3 linked regions of the Caenorhabditis elegans genome follow. The protein of the gene in region 2 interacts with the protein of the main gene of each other region in a pairwise test. Each region holds a gene or a part of one and is shown on either strand. Other genes may lie near its edges.

Region 1 (13,725 bases), on a different chromosome or scaffold from region 2:
CTTTATTTTAAACCAAGTTATATGGGTTTGAAGTTGGTGGCCTAGAAATTCGAAGTTTTGGATTTCTAGGCCACGGAAAATTATATAGGTAATCTCGGTTTTTTGCAGCAAATTCTCTTTGCAATTAAAAATCGTTTTGACCCGCTTATTTTCGGTGACCTAGAAATCCAAAACATGGATTTCCTAGGCCACCAACTTCAACCCTTCATAACTCAGTGAAAAATTGATATTTTTTAGCGTTCTAAAAAATAATAAACCGCAATTTATATGAAGTTTTACTAGGTGTTATCAAATTTTCAATCACCTACGGAAAATACAAAAAAAATTTTATTTCAAAAAAAATTCCAAAAATATATTTGAAAAAAAACTTCAAAAAACCAAAAAAAATCAATTATCAATCATAGCAGTAGCTGCATGACTCTCAATCAAACACCAGTCAACACCACGTCGAATCTTGACATATCCATGAAGACCCCAATCGGAATTCCACGAGTTTCTAACCAACCAATACGGGACACCGTCATCTGATGTACCATAACCAACAATTGCTACGGAATGCCATTCCGCTGGTGTCATGTGGTAACAATCTTCAGATTGGAGAACTCCTGATGTGTACCATTCAAAGTTCTCGCCCACTCGGAAATCTGGAAAAAAATTGGGAATTTTTTTTTTCAAAATCTTATATCTTCGCCAGTTTTCAACAATTTTCAATCAATTTTTTTCATAATGAGCGAAAATTATTTTACTATCAGGTTGTTTCAGCTTAACACTATTTCAGATAGCGGTACCAAAAGACGTTTCATGGCAAAAAAGGAAATACGATGCTTTTTTTCAAAACTTCATAACTTTGCAATTTTACAAGATTTCCTCTATGTGTGTGCCTTTGTGTGAATTTAACAAAAAATTGGGTACCCGTATATTTTCTCAGTTCCAAATCTATCGAATGTTGCCCGTTTTGCAGATTTTGAAAATGGAAACACAACACGTCATTATTGCTGTCTTATTTCGAAATGTGCAAACAAAAGTGGATGATAAGAAATACAGTTTAACGGTAACGTTTGTCCCAAAAACTGATTCCGATGAAAAATGTGATAATAACTCAATCAAGAAGCCCTAAATTGCCGATTATGCATTTTTTTTTCTCAATTAACCTGCATGCAATCTTTTTTCTCTCACATTCTTTTTTTTTATTTTACTCGGGTTAGTCTTGTTTCATGTATTTTTTTAACACAATTTTTTATAAGATGAAGTACGGAAACTTGAGACTTTGCTTTTTTTGACCTAAATGGTCCAAAACTACCTAATTTCGTGATAAGACGTTCTGAAAAATTTTCCAAAAAAAAAAGAAGTTATGACTGCTCAAAGTTTTGGAAAAAATTTACTCAATTAACGAAATAACACGTAATAAACTTTAAAAATGTGCATTAAAGGATGAGACTCAACTAAAATAAGACCCAACTGCAGCGACACTGAAAAGTTGCCAACATTTGAGATTTTAGCTAAACATATACCATTTTTTCCAAAATTTTGACTTTTTTTTGATAAATTTTCAGAACGTCCGATTACGAAATTTGGTAGTTTTGGACCATTTTTAATTTAAAAAAAGAAGCAAAGTCTCAAATTTCGGTACTCCACCTTTAATTATTCTGTTACACTATTGATTTGTTGGTTTTCTTTCTTTTCAAGTTAAATAAATTCAAATTCAAAAAAAGTCAAAGTGAACTTGTTGTGTTCTCTCTTTCTAATCATTTCTTTCTATACCTATCGTGATAAAACTCTTCTCACCTTGCCATCGCTCAATACACCCCACAAATAAGAAAAAACCATCATTTTTATGGACGACAGCATATAAAAGAAACCACGTTTTCCATTTTCACAATGGTTTCAGTTTTCGGTTTTCTTTTTTTTTTCAATTTTTTCATACTGTTCGACTTTAACTTTTTCTGTTTTCTATATAATCAGACAACAAGGACATTTTAAAGTATTTTCTAACGCTAGTTCTTTATCGGTTTTTGTCTCTGAATTTCATCATTCATTATATACAATACTTCTTATTTTTGAATTCTCTTTCGAAATAGTGGCAGTGGGGCACACACTGCGTAGCGCCCTTTCTGATTTTTTTGATTTCTCTTGTTTTAGGACCCCTGACATGAACTTGTTATTTCCTAATAAATTTTGCCATGAATTTTTGTTTTATTTTTAAAGTTTCTTCCTCATTTCAAAAAATACATTCAATTATATACTTTTGTTAATTTTCCTATACGGAGCTTTTGCAAAACTCTTCTCCTCTTCTTCAACACTGACTTTTTTTACGGAATACGTGCTCGAAATATTCCTAAATATTTCAGATTTTCTTGGTCAGCAACATGTCCGACAATGAGAATGGAGAGAATTTGAATGATGAGTTTGACAAGTGTACACTAGAAGATAAGAAGGATATCAAAAAAGAACCTTGTCAGGATGCAACGCCAAATGGTTTTGTCGCTGATTTCCGTCTAATGCCTCATCAGGAAGCTGCGCGCGATTGGATGATTGATAGAGAGGCACAGGAGCCATCTGGAGGAATTTTGGGACTTGCTCACGGACAAGGAAAAACTGCAATTGTCATTGCGCTCATTCTGGACCAAAAGATCAAATGCGCTTCGAACGACAAAAAATTCGAACAGAAATCTCCAACTTTGATCATTGTTCCAAAGCGTATAATTTACCAATGGTACGACGAGTTTAAGGATCGATTAGAAGAAAACGCGCTGTCTGTTTACTTGTACTATGATGATGAATTTAGTGAAGCTAGAAAGAATATTTCAGCAAGCGAACTTCAAAAATATGATGTCGTACTTACTACGTACAGAAATGTTCCGGTAAAGGAAAAAGATGAAACCGGTGAAAAAGTGAGCAAGCAAGTTTTGCAAAATATCAAATGGACGAGGATCGTACTAGACGAGGCGCACAACATTCGGGACTCAAATACCAAAAAATCCACGGCTATTGCGACACTTGCCTCAAAAAATCGTTGGTGCGTTACCGCCGCACCATTCCAAAACTCAGAATGGGATATTTGCAATCTTATTTTGTTTTTGGGTAACAAGCCGTTTGGAGAAAATGTGAAAGGTCCTGAAAAAACCCCGGAAAATTTGAAAAAGCTTAAGGAATCAACAATGGAGCTTTTCCGCGGAAACAACTTGGTTTTTAATTCAATAATTAACACCGGAGAATTGTCTGCAAACGAAAAGAAGGCTTACGATATAATAGAGGATGCTCACAAAAGGTTGGAATATAAGAAACACTTCACCTAATATCATTTCTGTATTTCAGGTTTTGTAAAAAAGGACAATCATTAAAGTTGCTGGCTATGTTACAGCAAGCTAGCATTCATTTTCATAATCTGGCACCAGAAGAACCTCTTAAAAAAGCTATGGACAAATTCATGGATGAAGAAGAAAAGTTCAAAGAAGAAGAAAAATCATTTAATATGGCAGAGAAAAATTTTGAGACTGCTTGTTCCGATGATGAAAAACAAGCATTCGAAAGTGCCAAGACGACTTTCGAGACTGCAAAGGAAAAATTCACGAAAGCAACTGAAGAATACACATTTTCCAAGGAAACCTTGAAAAATGTTGCAAAATTGGCCAAAAATGGCCAATTTCCCAAAATTGGCCAATTTCCTGAAATATTCGATATTAAACATCCAAATGCCAGAATAACAAAGACAATTAATATTATACAGGAAGTTTTAATGAAGAAAGAGAAAGTGTAAGCATTAGCATTTGTTGATACGATGACAATTCATCTAATAGTTTCAAATTTTAAAATTGTCGTTTGTGAGTGGAAACCTGTGTTTGATGTGATCGAATTTCAAATTTCAAAATTACAAAATATCGGTTGCCGTAGAATTGTGAAAACGACCAGTGCAAAAGATTGTCGAGAAATAGCGAAGAAGCTGAACGACAAAAATGACAGAACAGTCAGCGTAGTTTTCTTGTCAGAGAGAGCAGGGGCAATCAATTTGCATGGTGCGACACATGTCATTTTGCTAGGCATGCACTGGAATCTGGCTCTTGAACAAGAGGCATGTAGCTGCGTATGTAACATTGCACAGAAGAATATTGTCACTATTCACAGGTACATTTTTAGTTATCTATCTGGAGGAATAATAAACAGGCAAAGTTTCGAGATTTTCTTGCAACTGTTCAGTTTTTTTTTAGTTTAACATTGTCATCTCTAACGACTGTAATTTCAGAATAAAGGTTGCTGGCACCAATGAGGATGACGTCGAAAAAGCTCAAGACGACAAAAGCGATAGATCTGTCGGAGCAGAAACACCAATTAGAGAGTCAACGCCAATTTCTCTCAAGAAATAATCATTTTGTCGTGATAACTTTCGAATCGTTCATTATTTTTTAAGTTTCCGGTTTGGCAAACTTTTGTAAAACTTTTGTATACTCAAATGTTGTAATTCACTAAACCAACTAATTTTTTAAAACATTCATTACACAATTAATTATCAATCATAGCAGTAGCCGCATGACTTTCAATCAGACACCAGTTAACACCACGTCGAATCTTGACATATCCATGAAGACCCCAATCGGAATTCCACGAGTTTCTAACCAACCAATACGGGACACCGTCATCTGATGTACCATAACCAACAATTGCTACGGAATGCCATTCCGCTGGTGTCATTTGGTAACAATCTTCGGATTGAAGTACTCCTGATGTGTACCATTCAAAGTTCTCACCCACTCGGAAATCTGGAAAAATTTGAAAATTTTTTGGAAACTTTTTTTTTGGAATTTTTTTTAATTTCAAAATCTTATAACTTATCCAGTTTTTGAGATATTAACTTTTTCTTTATTTCAAAATGTGCGCAAAATGATTCACTATCAGTCTGCAAAAATTTCAGCGTTCAGCCATTGTAGACCACAGTACCACAGGACTTTTCGCGGTCAAACCAAAATTTTGAAAAAAATTTTTTAATTAAAATTTTTAAAATTCCAAAATTTCGTAACTTTGTCAGTTTTTAAGATATTTACCTAATTTTTATTTCATAATGTGTGCAAAATTTTTTACTGCCAGCTTATGTAATTTCAACTTCAAGCCATCTCAGACTACAGTACTCCAAGAGTTTTCGTGGCGGGACACAAGTTTTCAAAAAAAAAAATTTTTTTGCAAAATTTTTTAAATTTCAATACTTCAAAACTTAGCCAGTTTTTGAGATATTCACCTAAGTTAAATTTCAAAATGTGTGCAAAATCTTTTACTATCAGGTTATAAAATTTCAGCTTCAAACAATCTCAGACTACAGTACCACAGGACTTTTCGTGGCGGGGCCAAAATTTTGAAAAAAAAAATTGCAAAAATTTTTAAAATTTCAAAGCGTTATAACTTTGTCAGTTTTCAAAATTTTTAGATAATTTTTAACTTGACAGGAGCGCATACTCTTTCTCTACTAGAATTCAAAGCTCAGAGCCATTACCCAAGACTTTTCGTGGCGGGACCAAAATTTTGAAGAAAAAAATATTTTCTTTGCAAATTTTTTCCGAAATTTAAAACCTTATAACTTTGTCAGTTTTTAAGGTATCTGACTTATTTTTATTTCAGAATGTGTGCAAAATTTTTTACTGTCAGCTTATAAATGTTCAGCTTCAAGCCAATTCAGACTACAGTACCCCAGGACTTTTCGTGGCGGGACCAAAATTTTGAAAAAAATATTTTTTGCAAAAATTTTTAAAATTTCAAAGCAACATATCTTTGCTAGTTTTCAAGATTTTCAGATAATTTTTATTTTGACAGGAGCGCATACTTTTATTCTACTAGTTTGCAAAATTTGGGCTTCAAGCCATCCCAGACTAAAGAACTACAGGACGTTTCGTGGTGGGACCCAAATGCTAATTTTTTCGCAAAATTTTCAAATTTCAAAACCTCATAATTTAGTCAGTTTTTAAGATTTTTTTTTCGTAATTTTTGCCAGATTCACATGTTTCAGGCCCAAACCATACCGGATTACTGTACCCCAAAACTTTTCGTGGCGAGACCCTTCAAAAAAACTTACAAACTGCTGTAGGGATATGATTGAGATACAAATTCTCCATAATATCCTCCTCTGCATAATCTTGATCAAATCGATAGACATTTAAAGTTTCCGGCTGGATTACTGTACTTTTCTCGTCGCCCACGCAATTTCCAGTGGTATTCGCCCGATATTCCTCGTAAGGGTAGTCACCGTCACTGGACTGTCCCCGTAGATGCACCATTTTCAGACCGTTCCTTGGATCACCTCCCACGCACCCAGGAGTGTCTCCTGAATCTGCACAATCGCAAATTTCCTGGTCCGAGAGACTTGTGAAGGACTTGGAGTAGAGGGTGTTGGCAGCTTCGGTGATGGCAGTGGTGGCGAACGCCCAGCAGCAACCGCATTGTTCTGAAAAGTTATCAGTTGAAAAGAGCGTAAAATTTAAAATGGAAATAGTTTTTGAAACACCAAAAAATAAATATTTTGAAGGGAGTTATGAAGGTTTGAAGTTGGTGGCCTAGAATTTCAGATGAGGCCACCGGTATTTGGGGGAGTTTTTCAAGTTAACAATTAAATTACAAACCGATTGGCTTTTACAAACTCCAAATACGTCGATTTTGAAGCGAGTTATGAGAGTTTGAAGTTGGTGGCCTAGAAATCCAAATGATTGTTTTCTAGGCCATCAAAATTTAAGTAGGTCATATTGAACGTAAATTTCATGGTGAACAAAATTATTTTTACGGATCTCGAAAATATCAATTTTCCGCCGAGTTATATGGGATTGAAGTTGGGTCCTAGAAATCCAATTTGGTGTTTTTCTAGGCCATTAAAAATTAACTAAGTTAATTTGATAGTAAACTTTATGGAAAGATACATGCTTTTAACAAAACCCGAAAATATCAATTTTCCGCCGAGTTATGACGGTTTCAAGTTGGTGGCCTAGAAAGTTTAAAAACTCTTCCACGACTATAACTTTGCTTAGAAATTATAGTTTTCAAACCTGAAATTGTAAAAACATTGAGTCTAAGTTATTATTGTTTTCGAATAATTGGTGGCCTAGAAAACCTGAGCATGATTTTTCTAGGCCACCAACTTCTAACATTCATAACTTGGCGGAAAATCTACATAATAAAATTTTGCAAAAACCAATTTATTTGTCTAAAAAATTGCAATAAATTTGACCTACTTGATTTTGATGGCCTAGAAATCCAAAAATTTCTGCATTTCTAGGCCACCAACTTCAAACCCTCATAACTCGGCGGAAAATCAATATTTTTTCGCCAATCAAAATCTGTGTTTACTCAAATTTTAAGCTTTTTCAAATTAAGCATACCTTGATCTTTAACAGGACCAACAACTGGACTCCCATCGACATAAATATCACGGAGGTCGAAATAGTCCGGAATATCCCCACTTTGACGTTTTGAGCGTTTATTATGATGATTACGACTGCCACGTGGATGCCTCGGCTTGTAAATTGGAAGATCCGTGTGGTTTTTGGGATGAATCTGGAAAATTTCCAAATTATTTTTTTTTAATTTTCGTTTAAAAAAAAAGAATAATTAGAACTTAAAGAACGCACCGTGAACATTCTAATACAATTTTCAAATTTCAAAAATATTGATTTTCCGCCGAGTTATGAAAGTTTGAAGTTGGTGGCCTAGAAACCCAAAATTTTGGATGTCTAGGCCATCAAAAATTAAATAGGTCAGATCGATTCCAAATTTCGTAAGTTGGTTTTTGTAAAATTCAGAAATATTGATTTAAAGCCGAATTATGGAGGGTTGAAGTTGGTGGCCTAGAAATTAAAAGTTAGGCCACCTGCTTCAAATTCTTGTAACTTGGCTCAAAATCAATATTTTTGAGTTTTACAGAAACAAACTTAATCAACTTGAATTTTGGAATCAATTCGGCTTATTTAAAATTGGTGGCCTAGAATTTTTCAGGTTTCTAGGCGACAAACTTCAAACCGGCATAACTCGACGGAAAATAAATATTTTTCAGTGATTCCAAAACTAACGTATATGTCTCAAAATTTGAAATCGATTTGACCTATTTGATATTTCGTGGCCTAGAATTTCTAATATTTGAGTTTCTAGGCCACCAACTTCAAAACGTCATAACTCAGCTCAAAATCAATATTTTTCAGTGATTCCAAAACTAACGTATATGTCTCAAAATTTGGAATCAAATTGATCTATTTAATATTTGGTGGCCTAGAATTTCTGATTTTTGGGTTTCTAGGCCACCAACTTAAAACCGTCATAACTCAACGGAAAATCAATATTTTTCAGCTATTCCAAAACTATCGTACTCTCCCTAAAATTTGAAGTCCATTTGACCTACTGAATATTGGTGGCCTAGAGTTTTTAACTGTTGGGTTTCTAGGTCACAAACCTCAAACCGTCATAACTCGACGGAAACTCAATATTTTTCAGTGACTCCAAAACTAACGTACTTTTCTCAAAATTTGAAATCAATTTGACCTATTTGATATTTGGTGGCCTAGAATTTCTAACTTTTGAGTTTCTAGGCCACCAACTTCCATCTCTCATAACTTGGCTCGAAATTAATATTTTCAGTGGTTCCTAAACTACCGTGATTGACTTGAAATTAGGAATAGATTCGGCCTATTTAAAATTGGTGGCCTAGAATTTCTGATTTTTGGATTTTTAGGCCACCAACTTCAATCCTTCATAACTTTGCTCAAGATCAATATTTTTCAGTGATTCCAAAACTAACGTACTTGCCACAAAATTTGGAATCGATTTGACCTATTTAATATTGGTGGCCTAGAATTTCTGATTTTTGGGTTTCTAGGCCACCAACTTAAAACCGTCATAACTCAACGGAAAATCAATATTTTTCAGTGATTCTAAAACTAATGTACTCTCCCTAAAATTTAGAGTCTATTTGACCTATTTAATACTGGTGACCTAAATTTTCTAAATTTCCGGTTTCTAGGCCACCACCTTCAAAACGCCATAACTCGGTTTAAAATCAATATTTTTCAACCAATCAAAAACCATCTTGCGCAGAATTTTGTGCGCTTTTTGAAAAAACTCCCCAACCTTTGAATTTCTGGCGCTCAACTCCTGTCGATTCTTATCAGCAAACTTATTCCACCCAAAAGTCACATTTCGTCCTTCTCTCCTTGCTTTCGCATTAAGTTCCTGGATTTTCTGATGATTTTTCGCGAAATGAGCCAACCGGCGGTCTTTCTCCGCCGGGGTACGGTAGTGTTTCTTATGGTGCATCGTGAAATTGTTAAAATGTGACAGTACCTCCTGAGAGTGTTGGGTTACTGTAGGTTGGCATAGAGAGAGTAGGAATAAGGGGGAAATTATGAAAAGTAACATTTTTCAGGTTTTTACGGGGTTTTCGCTGGTTTTTATAGGTGGAATCACGCCGATCAACATGTTCAAGGTAACAGGTAACATAAAATGATAAAATATGAAAAAAAATTGTTCTTGTTTCAGTGTTACTCTGAGCCCTGAAAGTTTAGTTCTCCAAAAAAAAAAAAATTTTTAATCTAAAAATTTAAAAAAAAATGTTTTTTTTTTTTTTTAATTCCCTCAAAACCCTTCGCAATTGTTCTAAACCAACTTAGCTATACTAATTCAAACATTAAAAAAATATTGACCCTAGCGGGGGTTCGAACCTATGACCCTCCGCACATAACCATACCTCTTCCCGCCTGAGCCACTTTGACCCAGTTTTCAAACTGCTCCAAAATTCGCGTAATTTAGTTGTTTTAGGCTCAGAATTTCACGATAATTCCAGAAATTTAACTAGTTTTGATCTACGTTCATGTTGAACAGAGTTATGAGTAAAAAACTTTAAATCGATCAATTTCTTGGCTCAAAATTCGAAAAAAAAAGTTGAAAAGTTAATATGGGTGTCAAAAAATGTCTAAATTTTCTGCAGAATTTGGAAATTTATGCTAAAATCGCTGAAAACTTCAAGAAATTGGCAAAAAACCAAAAGAAAACACATTTTATCGATTTTTTTCAAAAAATTCCCTTAAACCCTTCCTCCCCTTCGCAATTGCTCAAAACCAACTAGGCTATACTAATTCAAACATATAAAAAATATTGACCCTAGCGGGGGTTCGAACCTGTTACCCTCCGAACCATAGCCTTCTCTCTTCCCGCCTGAGCCACTTGACCAAGTTTTCAAACTGCTCCAAAATTCGCGTAATTTAGGTGTTTTAAGCCTGAAATTTTACGAAAGTTCCAAAAATTTCACCAGTTTTGCGCTATGGTCATGCTGAACAATGTTATGAGCAGAAAAACTTTAAATTATTCACTTTTTGGCTCAAAAATCGAAAATTTATATCAAACCAAATTTTTTTGTCTATTTTCAGGAAAAAACATGGAGTAAGCTTCGTTTTTATGTTTAAAAAAGCTAAAATAAATGAAAATTTAAGAGAAAAAAACCCGATTTTTGAAGTGAAAATCCAGTTTTTTGGGGGAACATAAAAATGGAATAATGAGGTTTTTGAGCAAAATTTGATAATTTTAAAGTGAAAAATTGAGATTCAAAGAGGAGAAAACAGGCGAAAAATCACCGCAAAATTTCAGTGAAAATGCTCATTTTTTGACAGAAAATTGGCAAAAAGTGACAAATTAAAGTAGACATATGTAAAAAAAAAAAAAGGGGGTTTCAGGGGTAAAAAATGATGAAAAATTCGGGAAAATTACAAAAAAATGGATTAAATTTACGATTTTAGGGGTAAAAATGATGAAAATTCCAAAAAAATCCGAAAAAATTATCAAAAAATTCTTCTTCACATCAGTTGAATATTTCCATCTTCAACCAATTGATGTACCGATTCGAACGGAATCAAATGACACGATTCCGGTTCCATTTCCAAAATCACTTCTCCATTCAAATCCTGCCAATCCGGAATCGCAACGTTGCCCACGTCATCTGACGTCACTTTTGCGTAAACCATGACGTCATCATGATCGCCACGTGGAACTGGCATCTTTTTAAGCGCTGCTGGCATGAATTCTGAAGAAAATTGAGAGTTTTTGGGAAATTTTTTTTTTTTTGAAATTTTGAAAAAAAAAGTTTTTTTTTGGGAATTTTGAAATTTTTTTTTTTTGAAATTTTGAAAAAAAAATTGTAAAAATTGCCACGTGGCATTAAGCGAAATTTTGCAGTTTTTGAGAGAAAAAAAAACTGCAAAAAAAATCGAAATTTTCCAGATTTTCTGAGCTTTTACGCAAATTTTTCTGAATTTTTGAGGTAATTTTCTAAAATTTTAGCGAAAATTTTAAATTTAATTTTTTTTTAACTTAAAAATGAAACTTTTGAAATGCAAAAAATAAGATTTTTATTGATTTTCCACAAAAAAAACAAATTGCAAAATTTTAATTTTTCCAAGGAAATTTTTTTTTTGAAAATTCCAAAAAAAATCGATTTTTTTGAAATTAATTTTAAAATTTGAAAATTTCTTAAAATTTGTGAATTTTTATGGTCAATTTTACCAAAAAAATTGTTTTTTTTTGAAAATTCAAAAAAAAAAATTTTTTTTAGGTCAAAATAAATAAAAATTCAAAAAAAATTCAAATTTTGAGAGAAAAATTTGAAGTTTCGAAAGGAAAACTTTCAAAATTCAAAAAATCAAAAAAAAAATTTTTTGACATTTTTTTTTTCAAAATTGTAACAAAAAAATACATGAATTTTCAAAAAAATTTTCAAATTAGAAAAAAATTAGGCTTCTAGTGAAAAATTGGCCAATTTTTACGATTTTTTCAATAAAAAATCGCAATTTTCAACCAAAAATCCATCCGCCGTACCCAGGACAGTTTTCTGAAAAAGGTTCGACTCCGCTAGAGCATATTCTTCGGCGAATTTCATCTCAGATTCCGATAGTAGATCACTTTTTCCCTCTTCTTTTCGTTTTTTGTGTTGATCGATTGCGTCGTGTGGATTTGATTCGATTTTTTGGAGGCGGCATCTGCAGAAAATTGTTCGAGAAAATTAGTGAGAATCTACGAAAATTTGGGAATTTTTTGGAAATTTTCGTGAAAAAATGGGCAAAATTCGATGAAAATTGAGGATTTTAGCGTGTTTTTGAATTTCAGGCACTACAAACTACAAGTTTTGGGCGCTGCTAATGAATTTTTGGTCCATTTTTTTCATTTTTCGCCCTTTTTTTCGGCAAAAAAGCGCCAAAACGTCGAAATTTGCGCTGCTTTTCAATTTTTTTTTCCATAAAAAATCGATTTTTGTACAAATTTTTAGACAATTTTTGCAAATTTTTCTGCAGAATATAGCTTTTTTTCGATTTTTGATTAATTTTCGGCTGAATTTCCAAGTTTTTCCGATTTTTTGATACTTTCTCAGCAAAATTTCGCATTTTTCGCCGATTTTTGATTAATTTTCAGTTAAAATTCGCATTTTTCGCCGATTTTTCACTATTTTTTCGTGAAAATTCGCATTTTTCGTGAATTTTCGGCTAATTGTCACTCTAAATGTGAAGTTTTCTCGATTTTTAACTAATTTTCAGTGAAAATTTGCAATATTTCATGATTTTCTCCATTTAGACGATTTTTAATCAATTTTCAGCGAAAAAATGCATTTTTCGTGATTTTTTATCAATTTTCTGCAAAAAATCGCATTTTTCGCCGATTTTTAATCAATTTTCAGTGAATTTTTGCATTTTTCGTGGTTTTCGACCATTTTTCCGTGAGAATTCGCGTTTTTCTCCGTTTTTTTAACTAATTTTCCGTGAAAATTCCCATTTTTCTCCGTTTTTTAATTAATTTTCAGTGAAAATTTCCAGTATTTCATGATTTTCTCCATTTTGGACGGTTTTTAAACTAATTTTCAGCGAAAATTCCCATTTTTCTCCGTTTTTTCACTATTTTTCGTGAAATTTCGTATTTTTCGTGGTTTTTCGCTACTTTTCTCCATTTTCGGGGCTCATTTTCCCGCCGCACACCTAACATAATCCGACGTAATAAACCCAATGCGTTGAAGCTCGACTCGATGAACTGAGATTCTCAGCTGCATTTTATCCGTTTGTTTTCCAATATTTTCCTCCATTCCCTGAATCTGATCAAGTAGGATTTCGACAAGTTCCATTTGAGTTGGGAGAAGGCACGGAGCACACAGCTCATTTTGCCACGTGGCTGTCATTTTTCGGAGCACTTCTTCCGGTGTAGTCATCTCATCGTATTCGTCGTCGTCAAAATCCAAAAAGGTTGTTGCAGAGTCGGTGACGGCCATTTTTTTTTTTGGAAATTCTGGGGAAATATATTTTTTTAATTTAAATTTTTTTTTAGTTGAAAAAATTTTTTTTGGGAAAAATAATATTTTTAGTGCCAAAATTGAAAAAAAAAATTTTTTTGGGAAAAATGTTTTTTTTTGAAGAAATTCATCATTTTTAGGTGAAAATTAATTTTTGAAAAAATTTTTTTATTATTTTTTTGGAAAAATAATTTTTTTTTGTGCTAAAATTGAAAAATTTTGATTTTTTTCAGGAAAATTCACATTTATATATATTTTTATTTAGTTTTTATGGGAAAAATAGTTTTTTAATGGAAATTTTTAATTTATTCGAAAAATTTGATTTCTCCTTGTTTTTTGGCAAAAAAAAATATTTTTTCAAATTTTTTTGGAATTTTTTTCTCAGTTTTTCTATCAAAATTTAGTATTTTTTGGGAAATGGAAACTCTGGAAATATATTTTTTGAA
Region 2 (10,475 bases):
AAAGAAGTTGATACTTTTTGGTTAACTCTGTGAAGCATTCTGTTAAGTTCCATATTTTTTCAGACTGTAAGAGAGTATAAAGTAAACCAGACATACTAAATTCAGCAGTCTCCTGAAAGTTTTTTTCGAAGTTTTCGGTCCATATCAGATGAGGTTTTCTTTTTTCCTGAGTTGCAAAACAATATAATCAAAACCAAGTTTTTTCTGGTCCAACTGCAAGCATAAACAAATTTACTATATGTTTATTTTTGACGATTGACTTCATAGTTCCAAAACATTAGTTTCAAAAAATTCCTACAAAACACGACTCGGATAACCATCCAAGACTTCTAAAAGTTATCAGGAAGTTGAAGTAAAGCTAGGCATAAGATAACTATTAGTCATTGTTAAATACATGCATAGTAACCTGGTATAGTCTAGCATAGTGAGTATAATATAAATTGCCTATCCTCTAACAACTACTTATCACAAGTTCAAACGTTCAGATCAGGGGTGTGCGGCAAATTTGCCGAATTTGCCGTTTGCCGAGCTCGGCAAATTTGCCGAATTTGCCGAGCACGGCAAATTTCAAAAAAGTAGATTTGCCGAATTTGCCGAGCTCGGCAAATTTCGAAATTTGCCGCACACGTCAAAAATTTGACAGTACAATTTTGACTAAAACTGTTGATTTTTTCGCCAAAAGTTTAGTAAAATGACAACAAATTGAGTTATTTTGATGTTTAAGCAGACACACTACACCTAACTTGTTCAGAAACCAGAGGTGTGTTAAGAATTCAGTAGTTTTGGTGCTCCAAAAAATATCAAAAAATATATAATTTTTCCGAGTTTGTTAAGCACGGCAAATTTGCCGAATTTGCCGAATTTGCCGAGCTCGGCAAATTTGCCGAATTTGCCGTGCTCGGCAAATATTGGAAAAATAGATTTGCCGAATTTGCCGAGCTCGGCAAATTTTGAGATTTGCCGCACACCCCTGGTTCAGATGTTCATAAACAATAGTTTTTCTATAGCTGAAAATAATTTATCACACATACCAAAGCAAAGTTGCCTTGGAGATCTATTCTACTCGGCAGTTCGCTACTCCTGGGGCGCGCACGTTTTGCGCCTGGCGCGCGATAATAAGGGAGTCCGTCTGGCGCGCGCACCTGAAGCGCAAAGGGCGCGCTCGAGGCGCGCATCGTATGCGCACTGAATGCGAATTGAGTCTGGCAAGAACGAAGCAGGAACCAGAAAATAAAATAAACGTGCTTTTTTCTGAACTTTATATACTAATAACTATGTAATCAAGAGTATGAATGTGTAATCGTTCAAAATGGAACATTTATTGGCTTGAGGTTGCAGTTGTCAAATGGGACACAATTAATAGGAAACGTATGGTGATATGTTTGTGTATATATTGATCCGTATATAGAAAGTATCGGTATATAGGCACTTTATAGTTGTTTTAACTTCCCAATCCTCAAATTCACGTAGAAAAAACATAATCCTCACATCGTCGACGCTCTGTGCGCGGATCGTCCACGCTCTGTACGCGCCCCGTGCGTGATCCGTGCGCGCATCCTCCGCAGATCGCGGCCGCGGCCGAGATTTCAACTCTGCCAAATTTTTCAAGCTGTGTTTTTTCAGTTTTTTTTTCGACTTTACACATTTTCTTTATTTTTTATTAAATTTCAATTAAATAATAATGAAAAAATTTGCAGAAAGTGCATAAATGCTGAGACGAATCACATCTTCAGAGGATTTAAACGAATTAGTTCATCGGTAAGATTATAAAAACGATTTCCTCGAAATGAGTAATAATTTGATAACAACCAGGTCTTTGACCTCTTTTATACATAGCAATTATTTATAAACATAATTTGATATTTTCAGAAAAGCAGCAAAGGTATGGAGATGAATTGGATTCACCACCTCCGCACGGCCTATGCACGAGGGGCCTCTGAAAAGAAGATTTTCGGAGTTGTTTAATTTCCCTGATTCCTGTAAGTTTTTTTTTTCTTTTTCAAATGAACATGAAAAATGTTTCAATGAGTGAAATTAACTTTTTTATTTTTCAGATCCATCAAAAGAACTTCAGGAACTCCAACAAAGGAAGAAGAGAACTTGCTGCACAACGGAAAAATTTTTAATTTTGAAGTTTTTAAATTTTTAAAGCTTTTCACTATAATAAAGTTAAATCTAAATATACTCAGTATTCCACATTGCCAATGTATTTGATAAAATAATGAAGGGATGGGGAACGAGCCGTGACAAAATTTGTATCAAATGCGCGGGGCGCGCGCAGAGAGTGCGCCGGGCGTTCGAGACATTATTACTAGCGCGCTCCGTCGGCGCGCCCGCTGCGAAACGTGCGCGCGCCAGGAGTAGCAAACTGCCGAGTAGTAACATGTATATGTATCTCATATAACATGAGCACAGATTATGCAACGGGTAAACAAAGCTAGAAAAATCGAAGCTCAAACAAGTAATTGGAATAGAAGTCCGATGTTCAAAAGCTTGTTACAAATGTTTTACTGCACCATAAAAATCTGATAAAAATGATGGTAAGTTTAACAATATTAGTAGATTGAGAAACTTCGGCTTTAAATTTTCATATGCATAGTTTTTAAAAATCATTTCGTTTTTGAGTTAGCATCCAAATTACAGTTCAACTCTACCACGGTCAAATTTGTTTAAAAGTTTTTTTCAGTTTTTTTCTACAAAATTCCCTAAAAATTCACTCAACAACACTAAAAATTGTTCTTTTTCAGAATATTGGTTTCGAAGAGTTTCAGAAAAACAATTTTTGACCAAAAAAAAGGATGGCTGAAAAAAAAAAGGAAAAAATAAATAAAAAGTTGTCTAAATTTGTTGAAAACTGGTAATTCAGGTATGCTGAATTCAGAAAATCTTGGTTTAACCCATCAAAAACTATTAAAAGGTACCAAAATTGGGCTATTTATGTTGTTAAAATTCACAATTTTGAAACTCCTCTAAAATGGTTAATTTTGTTGTTAGAAGACTCAAAATTGATTTCCGAACACTAAAAAGTGTCCTTTTTCAATTTTTTAATGGTTTCGAACATTTTCAGAAAACATTTTTTCTGTCGAAAAAAGCCTTGGAACACCAGTATTACAGCATTATTACAAGTACGTTTGACCGATGTTTGTCTGCTAGGTACACATGCAAACAATTTTGAACCTACGAAGTAGACTGAAATTTATATAACACTGCCACTAAATTAACATCTTCATATCGAAATTTGTTACTAATAAATAGCAACCAACATCCAACTTCACTTTAGTCAATTCGTCATATTTCAATTTTCCATTACTCCGATTTCATATTTTGCAACCTCTAAAGCATAAACCACACCGAATACTACAAACTCTGCGTGTCTCAAACAAAAGCAAACTACACACTCATTGTGTCAATTCCTCTCTCTCTCTCTCTCTCTCTCTCAAATTGTTCGTCGATCAACAGAAAGTGGTCGAGATGTCTTCGCCTTTTGGAAGCGATCAGTTGGCCTTTTGGGGAAGCCTAGGAGTCTGGTGGAAATTGGAAAAAAACAGACGGAAAGGAACTCATGTTTGTTCAGTTGCCTAGGCAATTGCCTTCCTGGAAGAATCAATGTTCTCTTTTTTTTATTTCACCTGAAAATCTGAAAAAAAAACAAAAAACATAACACGATTTTTTTATTTATTTATTTACAACTTTATTGATCACAAATAAATATACATTATGCACAGTATAATAAGCATCAGAATTAAGAGTTTATGGGGAGAACGAACGATGTCCATTATGATGATGGTGATGGCAGTGACCGCCACGACGATGTGGAGGCCAGAATGGTGGTGGTGGTGGGCATGGTGGCCAGAATGGTGGAAAGTGATGATGTCCATGATGCGGTGGGAATGGACGGCATCCATGATGATGATGGTGGTGGTGGCCGTGACGAGATGGAGAACGTCCATCATGGTGATGATGGTGTGGTGGTCCGTGGTGTCCATGACGCCCTGGGCAGTGTGGTGGCCCGTGACGTCCTCCGTGCCCGTGTCCTCTAGGAGAGTGGGAACGGGATCCATGTCTTCCATGGCGTCCTGGACAATGTGGTGGGCCGTGGCGTCCTCCGTGACCATGACGACCTCCTGGAGATCCGGAGCGGGATCCATGCCTTCCGTGGCCTCCATGACGACCTCCACGATGATGCCCTGAGCCTCCGTGACCATGACGACCACCTGGAGATCCGGAGCGTGATCCATGTCCTCCGTGGCCTCCATGACCATGACGACCTCGTGGAGATCCGGAGCACGATCCATGCCTTCCGTGGCCTCCATGACGACCTCCACGATGATGCCCTGAGCCTCCGTGACCATGACGACCACCTGGAGATCCGGAGCGTGATCCATGTCCTCCGTGGCCTCCATGACCATGACGACCTCCTGGAGATCCAGAACGGGATCCATGGCGTCCACCGTGTCCACGACGTCCTCCCGGTGACCCCGATCTTCCACGATGCTCAACACCTTCGGACTTTTGCTTCTTCAGCTGCTTCAACTCTTCTTTCTTTCCTTGCTTCTCGGGCTCCTCATGTCTTCCGGGAGATCGTGATTCAGAAGATGATGATGACGAGCTGGATCCTGAGCGGCCACCACGTCCTCCACGTCTTCCACGAGATGGAGATCGGGAAGATCCAGAAGAAGAAGAGGAACTTCCAGAACGCTCACCTTTCTTCTTGCGATCATTTTCGTCATCGCTGCTTTCCGATCCTGACGAAGACGACTCGGATTCCGATCTTCCATGAGACACCTTCGAGAATGAGGAGCTGCTGCTGCGACGATCATCCTCATCGTCTTCGCTCTTCAGATCCTTCTTCAGACCCTTCAGATCCTTCTCACCAGTTCCCTCAGCGTACAGCTTCACCACAAACCTCGAGAACTTGATCGCCTCCTTCAGATCCTCGGCTGTCTGCAGGAAAATCTGATCCTTCTCCCGATCGATCCAGAAAATGTTGGCAAAGTCGACCTTGAACTCGGCGAGCTTCTTCTTGAGCTTCTCGAGCAATCCGGCGACCTTCTCATACTTGATAGAGAATAGATGAGCCTGTTTCGAATCTTTAGCAGTAAGTTTGAAATAAACTTCGCGCCCCGGGCGCTCGCGGCGGTGGTGATGATGATGTCCGTGAGCCATCAGTAGCGACTCAATATGACAAAATAACTGCATCCGCTCTCGCTTTTTATACTCGGCCACTTGTTTTTCGTGAGATCAGCGGCAAAATGGGTGGAGTCACTGTGAGAGTAAGACGGCTAGAGCAAATACGAGTTAGAGTTTTTGGCGCTGAACACTTGCGCAACCTCACTAGTGTAGTGGAGAAAGCACGTGTTTTTTTTTGGGGGGGGGGGGGAAAGGATTATTTGTGGCTGGCGGGAAAACAACTTTTGAAAGAGATCTTGATCATTCATACCAAAAAAAGGCGGGGTATCATTGGATAAGAAGAGCATACGAAACAAAAACTTAAATTCGAGGGATTAGTAGAGAGGAGAGAGGAATATTCAAAAAATATTACACGATTGGGAAAAATTCGAAAAAAACAGTTTCGAAAACAACTTGGAACAATAGAAAATAAGAATAATAATAATAAGAATAATGATAACGGGATTGATATTCTACACACACACACAAAAACCCAGGAAGACGAGAATTTGGGCGAAAATTAGGGGGAAAATTTAAGAAAAAGGAAAACAAGAATATTTATAATAGGAATTATTCGATTTTCGCCATTTGAAGAATCTTCTCGCACACCTTCTTGTACATGAACGCGTCACCTTTCAGACGCTTTCTGCGGATTCCGACCTGAAATTTTAATGGATTATTTTTTGGGTCAGGTAATGGGAATTTTTATTGGGTAAAAATGGATTTTTTGGCTATTTTTGTTTTTCTGGCATGTTTTCAGTTTTTGAAAATCGCACATACATTTTTTAGTTTGTGTATTCTGTGTTTTCTGGTTTTTTTGGCAAAAAATACAATTTTTCCGTTTTTTTTTTGCTGAAAATCACTAAAATTCAACTTTTAAAAAATTATGAGAAGGTGTACAATTTTCCAAAATATTAAGTTTTTCAAAATAACGTTTCAAAATTACACAATTTTTAAAATTACACAAAGCTTTTTCGTGTTTTTGGCAAAAAATGTTTTAATTTCTTTCGGAAAAAAAATGTTTTCTTTTGGAATCAACCCTACTTTTTGCCGAGCTTTTCACAGTTTTTAGATTATTTTTTTGCCGTATATTTACGCATTTACTGATAAAATCGCGAATTCATCATTAATTACCAAAATATCAAGTTTTTCAAAATAACGTTTCAAAATTAGACAATTTTTAAAAATGTTTTTTTAAACTCAGATAAACTGGAGTCACGGCAGAGCGACAGAAAATCACTTCTAATCAGCAAAAGCTAGTAAAGCCATAGTTTATCAGCAGAGAACCACTGCTAATTAGCAGGTCATTGCTAATTAGCTAAAAAGCACTGCTAATTAGCAGAAACCCACTGCTAACTAGCAGAACATTGATTATTGATTTTATTTTGTTTTTTCTTCGTCGTATTTCACATATTTCATTTTTTTGACCTTTTTTATTGTATTTTTTGTGTGATATGTTATCAATATGTGTTAATTGTTAATTCCAGTGTGTTTTTCAAAGATTTGTATCATTCCCGGCTAGAAACGGAGGATTATGGCCAGAAATCCAAGAACAACAGTTCGAAGAATTTTGAATTCAGCACCCCGGAGTCTTCTGATTCAAAGCGTGACAATAGTTGCTCTAGGTAAATTTTTTAAATGATTTTATTGGGACTAAATAACTACTTTCAGACCCGACGGACAATAATCATGGTTCTCACCAGCCGGGAAGCAATGGTCCATCAAATTCAAGCACCCAGGCCGATAACTTCGAGACGGAAACAACTGCAGATGAAGAACGACAAAAGGAAGATGGTGTAGAAGATGAACTCGAAGACGAAGAAACAACAGGATTCATTGATGAAGACGGGGAAATTCGTTATCCGGTCGATGAAGTGGGAAATTACGAGATCGATCAAGAAGCTGAAACCGATGAGTCATTTTATTTGGACACTCAACGCGATTCTTCTCTATGCGACGAGCGAAGTCAACTGTGTCGTTCTCTGAGCGATCAAAATCTGAGAACAACTTTTTTCCTCATCACTACTACCAACTCGAAAGCAGCCATTTTGAGATATCTACATTTTCACAATGTTTCACAAGATAGCATTCTCAGAAAATTGCTACTGAATGACTCTCATCTAACACTTGTAGAAGTATGTAATTTATGTGCGCAGAATATCGAACTGTAGGTTTATTATAAAACTAAATTTCTGAAATATATCATTACAGATGCAAATGTGAAGATATGCAAGAGAAATGCCAACTAATTTTCGGAGATCTCAAGAAATGGCTCGAAGTTATATTGAATAGTTTTGCGAATATCATGATGAAGACTAAAACAACTATTTTGGAAGGATATAATAGCTCCAGTCCAATAAATAAGGGTATCTTTAAAAAAAAGCTACTCAGCGAAATGGCAGATAATGAAATGTGGATGCACTTCGAGAGTAGCTTCGACGGAATCAAAGTACATAAAAATGGAAAGTAAGTATCTTAGTTTGATGGCTCTAAAAATTTTAATTGGTTTTCAGTCAGAACATTTGGCCATATAGTTTACTCAATTTGGATCTCGAAGACGTTCATCGAGCTTCTCCCCAGGCCCTCATTTTAGCAGCGTTATTCATCGGGTTCAAAAATCCGACAACGAAAATTCATGATAGACTTACACAATGGATTCTGCTCCAAATGGACGAACATGTCTTCTTCTCAGAGGGAGTGGCCTGGAAAGCGGATCTCACGTGTGCCAATCATGACGATCCAGTGAGATGAAAATTCAGAATTTTGAAAACAAGTGTTTGGTTTCAGGCACGACGAATCGTATACAATCAGTGTGGACTCCGATCATCAGGTTCTTGCAACTTTTGCTTAAACCAGGAAACTGAGTGCAAAATCAATGATGAGTATACAACACGTAAGCATCATGAAAACTATTATTAAAAAAATAATCACCTCTTTATAGTACGCGAAAATCTCACCGGATCGTGCCCTTCGACTATGAACGATGGCCTTCGTCAAAGAAACCAGCATTCTCATTTCCACAAGCATGTTTTGTATATGCATCTATGCCCGGTTGACTTGTTTCATTGTTTTGAAGAAGGAATTTTAAGCAATATCAATACAGGTCACTAGTAATGCCCGAATGCTCCCGAAACGTGTTCATTTTTCAGCATTATTCTCCAAAGGGAAATGGAATTTGTTCCCGTCAAAATCGGTGGATTTTTCATCAACACCTTCGCTTCCATCTCGATTTCGTTCGTTGTCCGGCAAAGCTTCACAGTGTACTGGTTCTGAGAAAGCACTGGTAAAAAGATTCGTTCAGCTAATTTCTGCAAAGTGAACACACATTTAGATTTTCGAGTCGATAGTTGTAGCAGCTGCATTTTCCGGTGAACTTGGAGGTGTATCATCGGCTATCATTCTCAGCATTCATGGACTTTATCGTCTTTGCATAGAACCCCAATCAATCACTGACGAGACTCTTCATTTGAAAGTTAGTTTTTATTGTTTTTGCTTGAAAAAAGTAGACCATTCTTTACAGATTGAACAAATCAGCAAATCCATCGAAGTTTTAATTGTGAAACGAGCACCGGAAATGTTGAATGGGATCAAAGTACATGTATGGAAATTGTCGTCAACTAACACCCATTACTATTTTGCAGCAAGTGTTGTACCACCTTGCAAGAATGACTGAGCTGTACGGTAGCTTATTTCCATTGTCAACTCAATGGTTCGAGTACTTCTATCACACTATTCAAAGAACTTTAGTTCCGGAAATTTACAATGGACTGGGCATGAGCATCATGAGAAAGTGAGAAAATTAGAGCACAATAGGGAGCAAGAATGTTTTTACAGAATGTCGGCTCTTCAAGAGATCAAAACCGAAGCTGCATTCCGTCTACACACAAATCACCAGTTTCGAACAGAAGCGAACTTGAAAATGTGCTATGAACTTGGATTATTAAGGCGACTCAAACGAATATCGGTTGTTCCGACCCCTCCGCAGTACCAACAGTTTTGCGAGACCGGGGATGTTTTCCTTAATGTTGTATACCACGACGGCATCAGATATTCGAATTATTGCAACAAAAAGACAGATGACTCAAATGTTACGTTTATCGAATATGCTCGCGTACGATTTGCAAAGATTATTGGGATGCTGTTGAAGGAAAACAACACTGATCTTCGTTTTATTTTGAAGAAATACTGCAACACAAATGATCATTTGATTGACATATCGAACAAGTTATATGAAGAGGATGTACCGCAAATGCATATTCAAAACTGGGTTGATTCAGTTTCAAAATCGAGTTTCGGAGGTCGTGTCACGTTAACAAACACAGTTGTCGTGGTTTCCGCCGATTCCATTGTTGGACATGCAGTGGTTGTGAAGCGAAATAACAACTGTGTGGCTCTTCCATTTTCTCGCCGTATCAGTCTATCTTGACTTTGATAACCACATATAGCTTTGAATTTGTTTGTCTTTTGTCTGTCCCCCCCCCCCGCTCGAAAAAATGTCTGCACCTCCCCCTTCTTTGACAAATGTTTGTCTCTACCCCTTGCTCGAAAAATGTTCTCATTATGTTCTTGAGGAATTCTTTCAGATTTTTAAAAGTTGTTTGTTTTAATATTTTCATGAATGCTTATCCGCTTTCAATTAATTTGTGTTTATTTGATGTGATAATCTGTTCTGTTCAACCCTGCTTATTTAATCTTATTTTATTAACAGATCTAAAAATCAATTTCAGAAAAAGTCATGTCATTCCTCGAGAAACTAGTGGCAAAATACGAGCCCATTAAAGAAGAAAAACCAAAATTAGTTCCAAAGCCGACAAGAAAACGGCAACCGGAAACTACGGAAATCGTTGTGAAGACTCGCCGTATTACTCGCCGAAATGCTAAGGTTAGTGGAAGGAGCCACATAACATTAAATGTGAACCCAAAGCTAACCTATTCCTATGAGTTTTAATATTTCTGTCATTTTCAGGCACCTGTAAAAGAAGAGGAGATTGGACATCAAAAAGCTCAAATCACGATCGTAGATGACGAAGAGTTTATGGAGCAACCTGTACAGGAGCCGATTGAGATTGAAGAGGAGCAACAAGAAGAATCTCATCTGGAAATTGCTCTTCCGGAGCAACCAAATCATGAGCCAATGCAATCAAGTCCATCGTTGCCTAGAAAATCGTTCAAACCGGATATGCATCCAATTGCGAAGGTGTTTACTTCTGCTAATTTCGAGTTGCTCGGAAATAAATTAATTTCAGAAAGGCGGAAAAATCTGTATTGTAGATCTAGGACTTACATCTCACACACTCCCCACCGAA
Region 3 (9,504 bases), on a different chromosome or scaffold from region 2:
TTCCTTTTTTCAAAAAAAATATAGAAAACTAGTGTGTTAATCACTTCCACAAACATTTTACTCATTAGCTGCTTTCCTCCTTCCGTTAGGAAAACGTGTATATAACTTCTTTCAAGACAGTTTTTTATCGATTTTTTAGTTTTCAATGCAAAAAATTCCAAATTTTTGAAGCTTATTTTCTAGACATATTATTGATTTTTGCTTAACTTTTTTTAAATTTCAATACTTGGTTATGCTTTTATAAAAGAGAAAATAGTCAGTTTTTGCCTAATTTACATACAATTGGTACAAAACTTTAAAAAATGTTAGTTTAAAAAAATTTTCGCAGCAATCGAGCTCTACCGCAATTATATGTTAAGGAAGGTGTAATTTTGGAAAAATAATGCAAAAAGACTCCAGTCAAGTTGTGCGGTAGGGCGTGCCTTATACAAGGTAATTAGATAATAACCTGCAGCCGACATTTTTCGAGAAATGCTCATTTTTCAAGGGGGCTTTTCCTTTGGTTTCTGCTTACTTTCTCAGTTTAGTTTTGCTCAAAAAAGCTCAGAATTTCAATTTTCAAATCAAGCATGTTTCAGACAATGCCAGACAACCACAAGGATCCGCCAGACTTCAACAACCTCGAGATGAAACTAGAGGAACGAATCGAATTGTCACGGGAAGATCAGGATATTCAAAGTACGAGCAGCTCCTATCCACACTGTGAAGCTCTCGATCACATAGTCTCAATGGAATCCACGTACGATTTTCACCGTCAAATGGCTCACAAGGACCTGCAAAAGCACCGACAGGAATATGAGAAGGCTAGCGAGAAGATTCTGGAGCTTCGGAAAAAGCTGACCGACTGGAATATGGATCCGAAGAAGAGAAAGTGGATCGAAGACGACCTGGATTCACTGGTCAGGAAACAAGAAAGCGCCCTATCCCGTATCAGACTAGCGGAAAAGTGCACAAAGAGGGATCTGCGGAATGATCCACCACCAGCATATCAGCCGGATGATCCATTGAAGGATTTGAGGAAGAATTTTGAGAAGAAGGAGAAGCCGACATGGAATGATGTGGAAAAGAAGAAGAATGGAGTTTTTGAGTTTCACTGATATTGCTAGTAATTCATATTTTAAGAAGATTTGCTTTATACATATTTTTATACTTATTTTTTACATATTGTCCAAAACCTATAAATTTTTCTGGTCACTTTGTAGTACATAAGTTCAAGTCAAATACAGACCCGTCGGATGTCAGCTGCTGTATTTATTTCGGAACAGAGTTATGTAATTCTGATATCAAAAGTCTAGACAACGTAATCGCAACATATTGTTAGTTGAAAATATTTTACAAACTATCATAGTGTTTGAGTTATACATCTTTGCGCAATGACAGTGCGGCAAATTTGTCAAATTTGCCGCACACCTCTGTTTTGCATAACTGAAGCAAATCACAACCGAAATCGAATAGAATATTGAACACTGTAACATATATTTCTATCTTTAAATATATTCAGGTAAACTGTAACCGATAAAAAATTAAAAATTTGGAGCCTACAGCAAATTGCAGTGCGGAAAAATTTTTTTCGACAAATTCGGCAAGTCGACAAATTGTCGGTTTGCCGATTTGCCCGAAATGATAACTTCCGGCAAATCGCCGATTTGCCGTTTGCCGGATATCAATTTGCCGGAAGTTTTTAGAGGGCTTTTTTATAAGACGGAAACACTGAAAACTGTGCTTTTTTGAAATTTTTTTCCCGTTTTTTTTTCTTACTTTTTAAAAAAGGTGTAGGAACATTTACAGGATGCGTAAAATTTTGCCGGCTGAAATTGAAGTTCTGAAATTTAAAAAAATGTGCAAAACCACAAATTGCCGAAAATTTTCGACAATTTCCGTTTTTCCGGCAAATCGGCAATTTGCCGGTTTACCGACTTGCCAGAAATTTCAATTCCGGCAATTTGCTGATTCATCAGAAATTTCAATTCCGGCAACTTGCCTATTTTCCGGAAATTTCAATTCCGGCAATTTGCTGATTTATCAGAAATTTCAATTCCGGCAACTTGCCTATTTTCCGGAAATTTCAATTCTGGCAATTCGCTGATTTTCCGGAAATTTCAATTCCGGCAATTTGCTGATTTATCGGAAATTTCAATTCCGGCAATTTGCTGATTTATCAGTAACTTCAATTCCGGCAACTTGCCTATTTTCCGGAAATTTCAATTCCGGCAATTTGGCGAACTACCAGAAACTTTCAATTTTGCCGGTTTACCGATTTTCCGGAAATTTCAATTCCGGCAATTTGCTGATTTATCGGAAACTTCAATTCCGGCAATTTGGCGATTTGCCAGAAATTTTCAATTTTGCCGGTTCACCGATTTTCCGGAAACTTCAATTCCGGCAATTTGGCGATTTGTCAGAAATTTTCAATTTTGCCGGTTTACCGATTTTCCGGAAACTTCAATTCCGGCAATTTGCTGATTTATCGGAAATTTCAATTCCGGCAATTTGGCGATTTGCCAGAAATTTTCAATTTTGCCGGTTCACCGATTTTCCGGAAATTTCAATTCCGGCAATTTGGCGATTTGTCAGAAATTTTCAATTTTGCCGGTTCACCGATTTTCCGGAAATTTCAATTCCGGCAATTTTCTGATTAGTCGGAAATTTCAATCCTCCGGCAATTTTGCCGATTTGCCAGAAATTTCAATTCAGGCAATTTTCCAATTTGTCGGAAGTTTCAATTCCCGCAATTTTCCGATTTGCCGGAAATTTTAATTCCGGCAACAGTTTTATATGACCTCTTTCTTATTATTTGGTTTTTTAATTTAATAATAAAGAACAAAACACAAATTCGAAAAATACAAATTATTTATTTTTACACAACAATAAATAGACAACACACTTAAATGGTCATATCCCGGTTGTTTTAAGATTTATCGAAAAACTACCAACAAACAAAATATTGCTGATGCCTTTTTCAATAATTTTGTAGTTGAACACTTTTCGATATCACTTATTTAAACCAAGATATAGGATACCAAAAATGAAATAGAATACAATTAAACTAAAAACAAATATTTACATTTAAAAATTCAAGCTCCATTCGAATAAGTTTCTCTCGGCGAGTTCTCACAATCATAGATCCCGCGACGACGATTGCGGTATGGTTCCCACGTTCCATTTCTTCCATACGGATGCCATCGTCTCCCATGACGCTGCTCCCACTCGGCAAGCCCATCTCGACAACGGCATGGCGAGGAGTCACTGGAATTGGTTGATGATTTAGAACTCACCGAGTCATCGGAAGAAGAGGACGAGGAAGAATCATCAGAGTCATCAGAAGAGTCGTCAGACGAAGTGTTCGGAGGTTTCACCGACTTTCTCTTCGATCTCTGTTTACGAGCTCGTCGAGCTCGTGGAGCTGGAGATTCAGAGATCGGAAGTTCCGAAGAACGTGGATATTGACACCCTTGGGTGTCTCTACGATCTTGAGAAGTTAACGTGGAAACCGTGGAGTCGGAATATCTATCTTCATCGTCCTTATCTGAAAGTTCAGATTCTGAACTATCAGATGACGAGTCGAAGAATCCGTCTCCAAGAGGAAGTGGACGAGTGCTGAGCTTTCTCATTGTAAATGAGATGCTCTTCAAGGTGAGAGGTGCTGGTTTTATAGGTGGGTTTTGTTGACGAATAGTTTCGAATTATTTCGAAGAGTTTCGAAATTAGTCATGACTTTGATAAGGTGGGCAAATATTGATGACGATATGTGTGTAGTATTGCCAAATTTGAGGAGAACTCCTTGCCGTTTGATCTCCGAAAATTGGGGTCACACAGAACATTTCTGGAAGTACATAGAAGTCTATGTTTCCCGCAATTTTCAGAGGTCAAAAAGTAAGGAATTTGCAAATTTTTTTGCAAATTTTTTTTCCGGCAAATCGGAAAATTGCCGGAATTGAAAATTTCCGGCAAATCGGCAAATTGCGGAATTGAAATTTTCCGGCAAACTTGAAAGTTACCGGAATTGGACATTTTCGGCATACCGGCAAAGTGACAAAATTTAAAATTTCCGACAAATCATCAAATTGCCGGAATTGGAGTTGTGGCATACCGGCAAATTGACGGAATTGAAATTTCCGGTAAATCGTAAAATTGCCGGAATTGAAATTTCCGGCAAAACTGGGGCAATTACATAACTCTAGAAGGAGAACATTTTTGAATTCATAGCTCTTATATCTCTATAGTAAAATTTATGCTATAAATTTATATAAAAAACGTCCTAAAATTGTATTTTGCGCAGCAGGACCCATCTTTGTCGTGCTTTAAAGTTTCAAAAATAGAAACTCATTATTGACACACGAATTTATTTTTAAAAAAATACAAATAATAATAAATTTTATATTTAATTTGCATACTACAAAAACAAGTAATTTTTATCAAAAATTGCAAAATTCCGGTAGTCAAGTTAGTTCGTATGGGGTGGTTGAGAATTGATAACCCATACGATCCGGACCGCAGGAATTCGAAAACTGTTGGGGAGGAGGAAGTATATATACTAGAGGCAATGCAAGCGGTGGACGTTTCTCGAGGAATGGTGGTGGGTTTCTCTGGGTCTCTAGTAGTGTACAAAATGCGCTCCACCGCAATTCGATAATTAGGAGACTGTGTCAAACAACTTTATGTAAGGTGTAATTTTTTGGGTAAAAAATTGACTAATGATTTGAAAAAATCTATTTTAAAAAATCTGCATTTCAAGCCTATATATACGAAATCTTATTTTGTTTCTGTAATTTTTATTATTTTTCGAATTTAATTGAAAAATGCCTAACTAAAATTAAACGTTTCTTTCTAATCAACTTGCCCACCAAATTCCAACAATGCAAAACAGGAAGTCAAGTTGTTGCCGATGGGGTGGTTTCTTCAGATAACCCACCGACTCCGGACCTATGCCTGATAAAAAACCTTCTATCAACAGAGTATATATACCAACGGTCTGTTAAGTGGACGACGGTGTGTTGATAAGTGGCGTTTCAATGGAGCGCACTTGCAATAGTTGTGAAATCAGTTAAAATTTTGCGCTAGTAATTCAAATCCACATATATTATACATACATTACTTTATTTTTACACAATTAATACAGGCATAGTTTTGCACTCGATTGAACTTGTCCGGGATTCTTCTAGGCCGCCGCCGGCGCCACCCCCTTGTTCGGGCACATTGCTTCAATGATATTTTCGTCGGTACATTGACTGTCTTCACAACAATATCATGTCCACAGCTCTTTTTAAAACCCTCCGCCGCAAAGCTGACCATATCGATTTCTTCGGCTTCCTCCTCAAACTTTACTCCATATCCTTGCGAAGCGTACTTGCACAGAGACTCCTTGATGTCCAGATCGGTACACTCGTCCTTGCAGCACATCTTCCAAAGATCCACATCACTGCTGCGATCTGAAAAGCGATGATTCGGTTTTAACCTGCTAAGAATGATATAATAACATACCTTTCTTCCCACTGCAAGCTTCAAAAGCGCGATGAACAAGATGGGATCCACAGGAACGATAGGGAAGGAAGGCCGCATTTGGGACCGGGTGAATTGGATTGGCATTGGTGAGCACGGTGAGCATAGCAATGCTCAAGGCAATTGGCAGGAAAGCAGCCATGGTGTTCAATCGTCTATCCGGTTCGGGATGAGAGTTGAGGTATGATTCTTATTTTGTTTTCGATTTTGAGTGGGGGGGGGGGAGGGAAATGCTTACAATTATGACCTATGGGTCACGTCTTTTACGTGGAGTGTCAATTTGGGAATAAGTTGAGTGACTTTTCTTATAGTTTTTAAAGGCCAAGTTAAAATTGAATGTCTATTTAACAACTATACTTTATTTTTTGAAAATTGATTTTTCACTATTCTGCAAGCTTATTTTGTCCCCTCGGGGACTGGGCCGAGCCCGGCAGCAGTGCAACGCCAGGACGACCCTTGGGAAGTCGGAGCAAGCCCCGAGTCTTCCCTAGGTTCCAAAAATCATATAACCTTTATTACACTCATTCGAGTGTATACCGTAGGTTAATACGATAAGAACAGATACTACACTTTGATCTTAGCTAATAAGCCGAAGAAGCGATACTGAATGGAGGAGAGGGTAGGGGTAGTGGGGAGCTGTGTACCGACAACTCGTGGGTGCGCGTGGAGCACTCTTTGTTTCGTGGCCTAGAAAAGAAAGACAATTAGGTATGTCTTTGAATTAATTAAAAATCTTTATATAATAAATTAATTAAAATATGAAAAGTTCAAAGAAAAATCAATAAATTAAATATTAGAACTCGGTGAAGTGAATAATTTCGAAAGTCCATAGGATTTTTACACGTGTAATCGGGGGGAGAAACTGTTGGGGAAACGTTATTAATTAGCTGCAACTTTTTCGGGCTCTTTGGCGTCGTCTGGAGTCGTGCTGAAGCCGGAGTCCTTGCCCTGAAAGTAATTATAATTGTTTCAAGCGGAAAATTTTAAATTTCCACCAAAACTCACCTCTTCAAGAGTTGTCAAATTGGATTTACTCAGGAAATCCGAGAGCTCAGCAGCTTCTTCATCATTTTTCAGTGTGCTCGTCGAGCCATGACACCTTGGAGACTCGATTTCCTCATCACGGAAGTTCTTCGTCTCATCCTGATCTTCATCATCATCATGGAAGAAGCTTGAGCTCGATTGTTGTGGATTTTGCTGTGAAATTCCAGAAGTTGATGGGCCTTGAGATGTATTGAGTTCTAGAAGTGGAAGGGTTGGCGGAGCCGGAACAAGTGGAGCCAGGTAGCTGACGTCACTTGCTGGGACTAGGGATTCGCCTGGAAAATGGGAAAATTGAAGAAAAAAGTGCAAACATTTCGACATTTTTAGCAAAAGTTCTAGCCAAATTTCAAAAGTTTTGAGCAAAATTCTCAGAAAAATCGTCGATTTGGAGCAAAATTTTAAGCCAAATTTTGCCGTTTTTGAGCAATACTCTCATGCAAAATTTGACATTTTTGAGCATCATTGTTAGGGAAAATTGAAATTTCAAATTTTAACCGGAGCTACACGTGAAATTTTTTAGAAAAAACGTCGATTTGGAGCAATATTTTGAGCCAATTTTTGGTATTTTTGGGCAATATTTTAAGCCTAATTTTGACATTTTTGGAGCGCAATTGCAAAATTTTCAACCAAATTTTGATATTCTTGAGCACAATTTCCATCCAAATTTCGACATTTTTGAGCCATGTTTTCAGTCAAATGTTGACATTTTTGAGCAAAATTTGTTAGGGAAGATTTTAATGTTTAACTTTTAACCGGAGCTACACGTGAAAATTATCTGAAAAATCGTCGATTTGGAGAAAAATTTCCAGCCAAATTTTAACTTTAAAGTATTTGGCCTAAATTTAGGCCAAATTTTGACATTTTTTGAGCACAATTTTCTGTCAAATTTCGGCATTTTTTGAGCAAATTTTACAACCAAATTTTGACATTTTTGGCAAAAAGTTTAGCCAAATTTTGATATTTTTGGCAAACATTTTCTGTCAAATTTTGGCAATTTTAAGCAAATTTTCAGTCAAGTTTTATCATTTTGAGCGCAACTTCCAACCAAAATTTGACATTTTTGAGCAAAATTGTCATCCGGATTGTGACATTTTTAGCGAAATTTTCAGCCAAATTTTGGCATTTTTAGAGCAAAAAAAATTCAGACAAAATTCTATTTTTCAAAACTAAAATTGTTTTTTCTTCAATTTTTCGCTGCACCATCTAGTATTGCCAGTAGGCGTTAAATACCTGCCTGCCTGCCTGACCATAAGGCGACCTCCGCCTGCCTCTCGCCTCAATCCGTGCCTTATGCTAAAACATATGTGAACTTTTTTTAAAAATTGCTTAATTAGATTTTCATTTTAAAAAAAAGTAAAAATTCAAAAAAGAAGCGAAAGACAGGCGTTTGGCGGGCAGGTTTCAGGCAGGCGGCAGGCCCTCAGAAAATTTCAGCAAAAAATTCAAACTCACCAGCTCCCCCATGAGTCGTATCCATTCCAGACGTTGTTGGAGTGTTCGAAGAGGAAATCGGATGCATAGGTGCCCCCATGAAAGAGTACCTCTGCGCGGAGCCCCCAGAATTCGGCTGAAACTGGAACATCTGCGGGAATTGTGGAGTGGCCGGTGGGAATCCGAACTGGGGCATTATGGGATTTCCAAACGGGATTTTATGCTCAGCTTCTTGCCATTTCCGCTTAAAATACTCGGTTTTCTTCTTCTCCTTATCCAGCTTCGCATTCGACTGTAACAACATTTTCACGAGGTCATCCTTCTCCTTCTCGAGCTCTTTAATCTGCCGATGGTCGTTTCTCTGCGTTCTCTCATAATTAAACAGTCTCTCCTCGTAGTGAGCTCGAATTTTCTTCTTCAAATCCTGATATCTCATCGATTTCTTATAGACCTCCTCTTCATCCTCCTCCTCGTCCTCCTCCTCTTCCGGATGGTGCCGCCGATGCTGATAGTGCCGGTGATAGCCGATCGGCGACGTGTTCTCACTTCCGTACTCTGACGTCTCCCACTGTTGATACCTGGGCGCTGCTCGGGAAGAGCTTGATGACGTCATTTTCGAGGTGGATTGCACCATGTTGCTGCTCCGCCGGCGTTGATCTCGTGGCTCGCGGCGGAATGAGTCGACGTTGAAGGAGCGGCTGCTGCTTGGGGCTTCTTCCTCGATATATCTGCAAATTTGAGATTAAGGATTTTTTGATACATGGCCGAATCTAAAATGTATCGGTGGCCTAGTTTTCCTGGTTTCCAGGTTTCTAGGCCACGTAAGAAAATTCAGCATACGATAGGCTTCTTCCTTATACCCTTGAATTGTAGTTGCCAAACTCTAAATTCAATAACTATCGAAAAAAATTGGTGGCCGAGTTTTCATTTTTCTAGGCCACGAGGCAAGTTTTGACTATAATGGACCTTTTACTTTTTTAGGCCACGTAGCTAAAACCAATTTATAATGAATACCAAGATGCTTTTTCGATTCAAAATTGATCAAATTTTCTGTATGGACGCCGACAAAAATTGGTGGCCGAGTTTTCTTATTTTCTAGGCCACATAACAAATTTTGGCCTATGATGGATCATTGTCATTTAACAGTTGAATTTTTTTTAACATTGTTATTGCGCTACATGGCCGTGAAAAAATTGATGGCCGAGTTTTCTCGTTTTCTAGGCCATGTAGCTAAAACCGACTTATAGTGAATTTCAAGGTGCTTTTTTTGGTGAATTGTGATTCAAAATCGACCAGATTTTCTGCATGGCCGTGGACAAAAATTGGCGGCCGAGTTTTTTCGTTTTCTAGGCCGCCATACAACAAAAATTTTTTAAACATTTTTATTCCAAAAATTTTAAGAAATCCTAAAATTGGTGGCCGAACATTCACTTTTCTAGGCCACAAGCATACTGTAACTTTTGTAAAAAAAATTGTATTTATTGTAAAAAAAATTAATTTTTTTTTTAATTTCGCTTTTTATTACTTCTT

What was found.
Region 1: the proteins of W03G1.5 (region 2) and Y113G7B.15 interact in a two-hybrid assay, tested with the Caenorhabditis elegans proteins (one large-scale study listed by BioGRID).
Region 3: the proteins of W03G1.5 (region 2) and F08G2.5 interact in a two-hybrid assay, tested with the Caenorhabditis elegans proteins (one large-scale study listed by BioGRID).

Annotation. Positions count from the first base shown.
Region 1 is NC_003283.11:20,224,469-20,238,193, forward strand, and holds Y113G7B.15 (Pept_C1 domain-containing protein), read right to left. Parts: upstream 9,376-13,725; coding exon 9,088-9,375; intron 7,525-9,087; coding exon 7,350-7,524; intron 6,425-7,349; coding exon 6,056-6,424; intron 4,755-6,055; coding exon 4,498-4,754; 3' UTR 4,471-4,497; downstream 1-4,470. Other genes in the region: sld-5 (DNA replication complex GINS protein SLD5), read right to left, coding at 10,806-11,032, 11,824-11,984, 12,972-13,258.
Region 2 is NC_003282.8:501,319-511,793, forward strand, and holds W03G1.5 (PB1 domain-containing protein), read right to left. Parts: upstream 5,167-10,475; coding exon 3,751-5,166; downstream 1-3,750. Other genes in the region: pig-1 (Maternal embryonic leucine zipper kinase), read right to left, coding at 5,740-5,829.
Region 3 is NC_003280.10:13,830,021-13,839,524, forward strand, and holds F08G2.5 (WW domain-containing protein), read right to left. Parts: upstream 3,612-9,504; coding exon 3,075-3,611; downstream 1-3,074. Other genes in the region: F08G2.4 (uncharacterized protein), read left to right, coding at 582-1,097; ins-37 (INSulin related), read right to left, coding at 5,092-5,429, 5,482-5,641; F08G2.7 (uncharacterized protein), read right to left, coding at 6,379-6,447, 6,505-6,818, 7,996-8,702.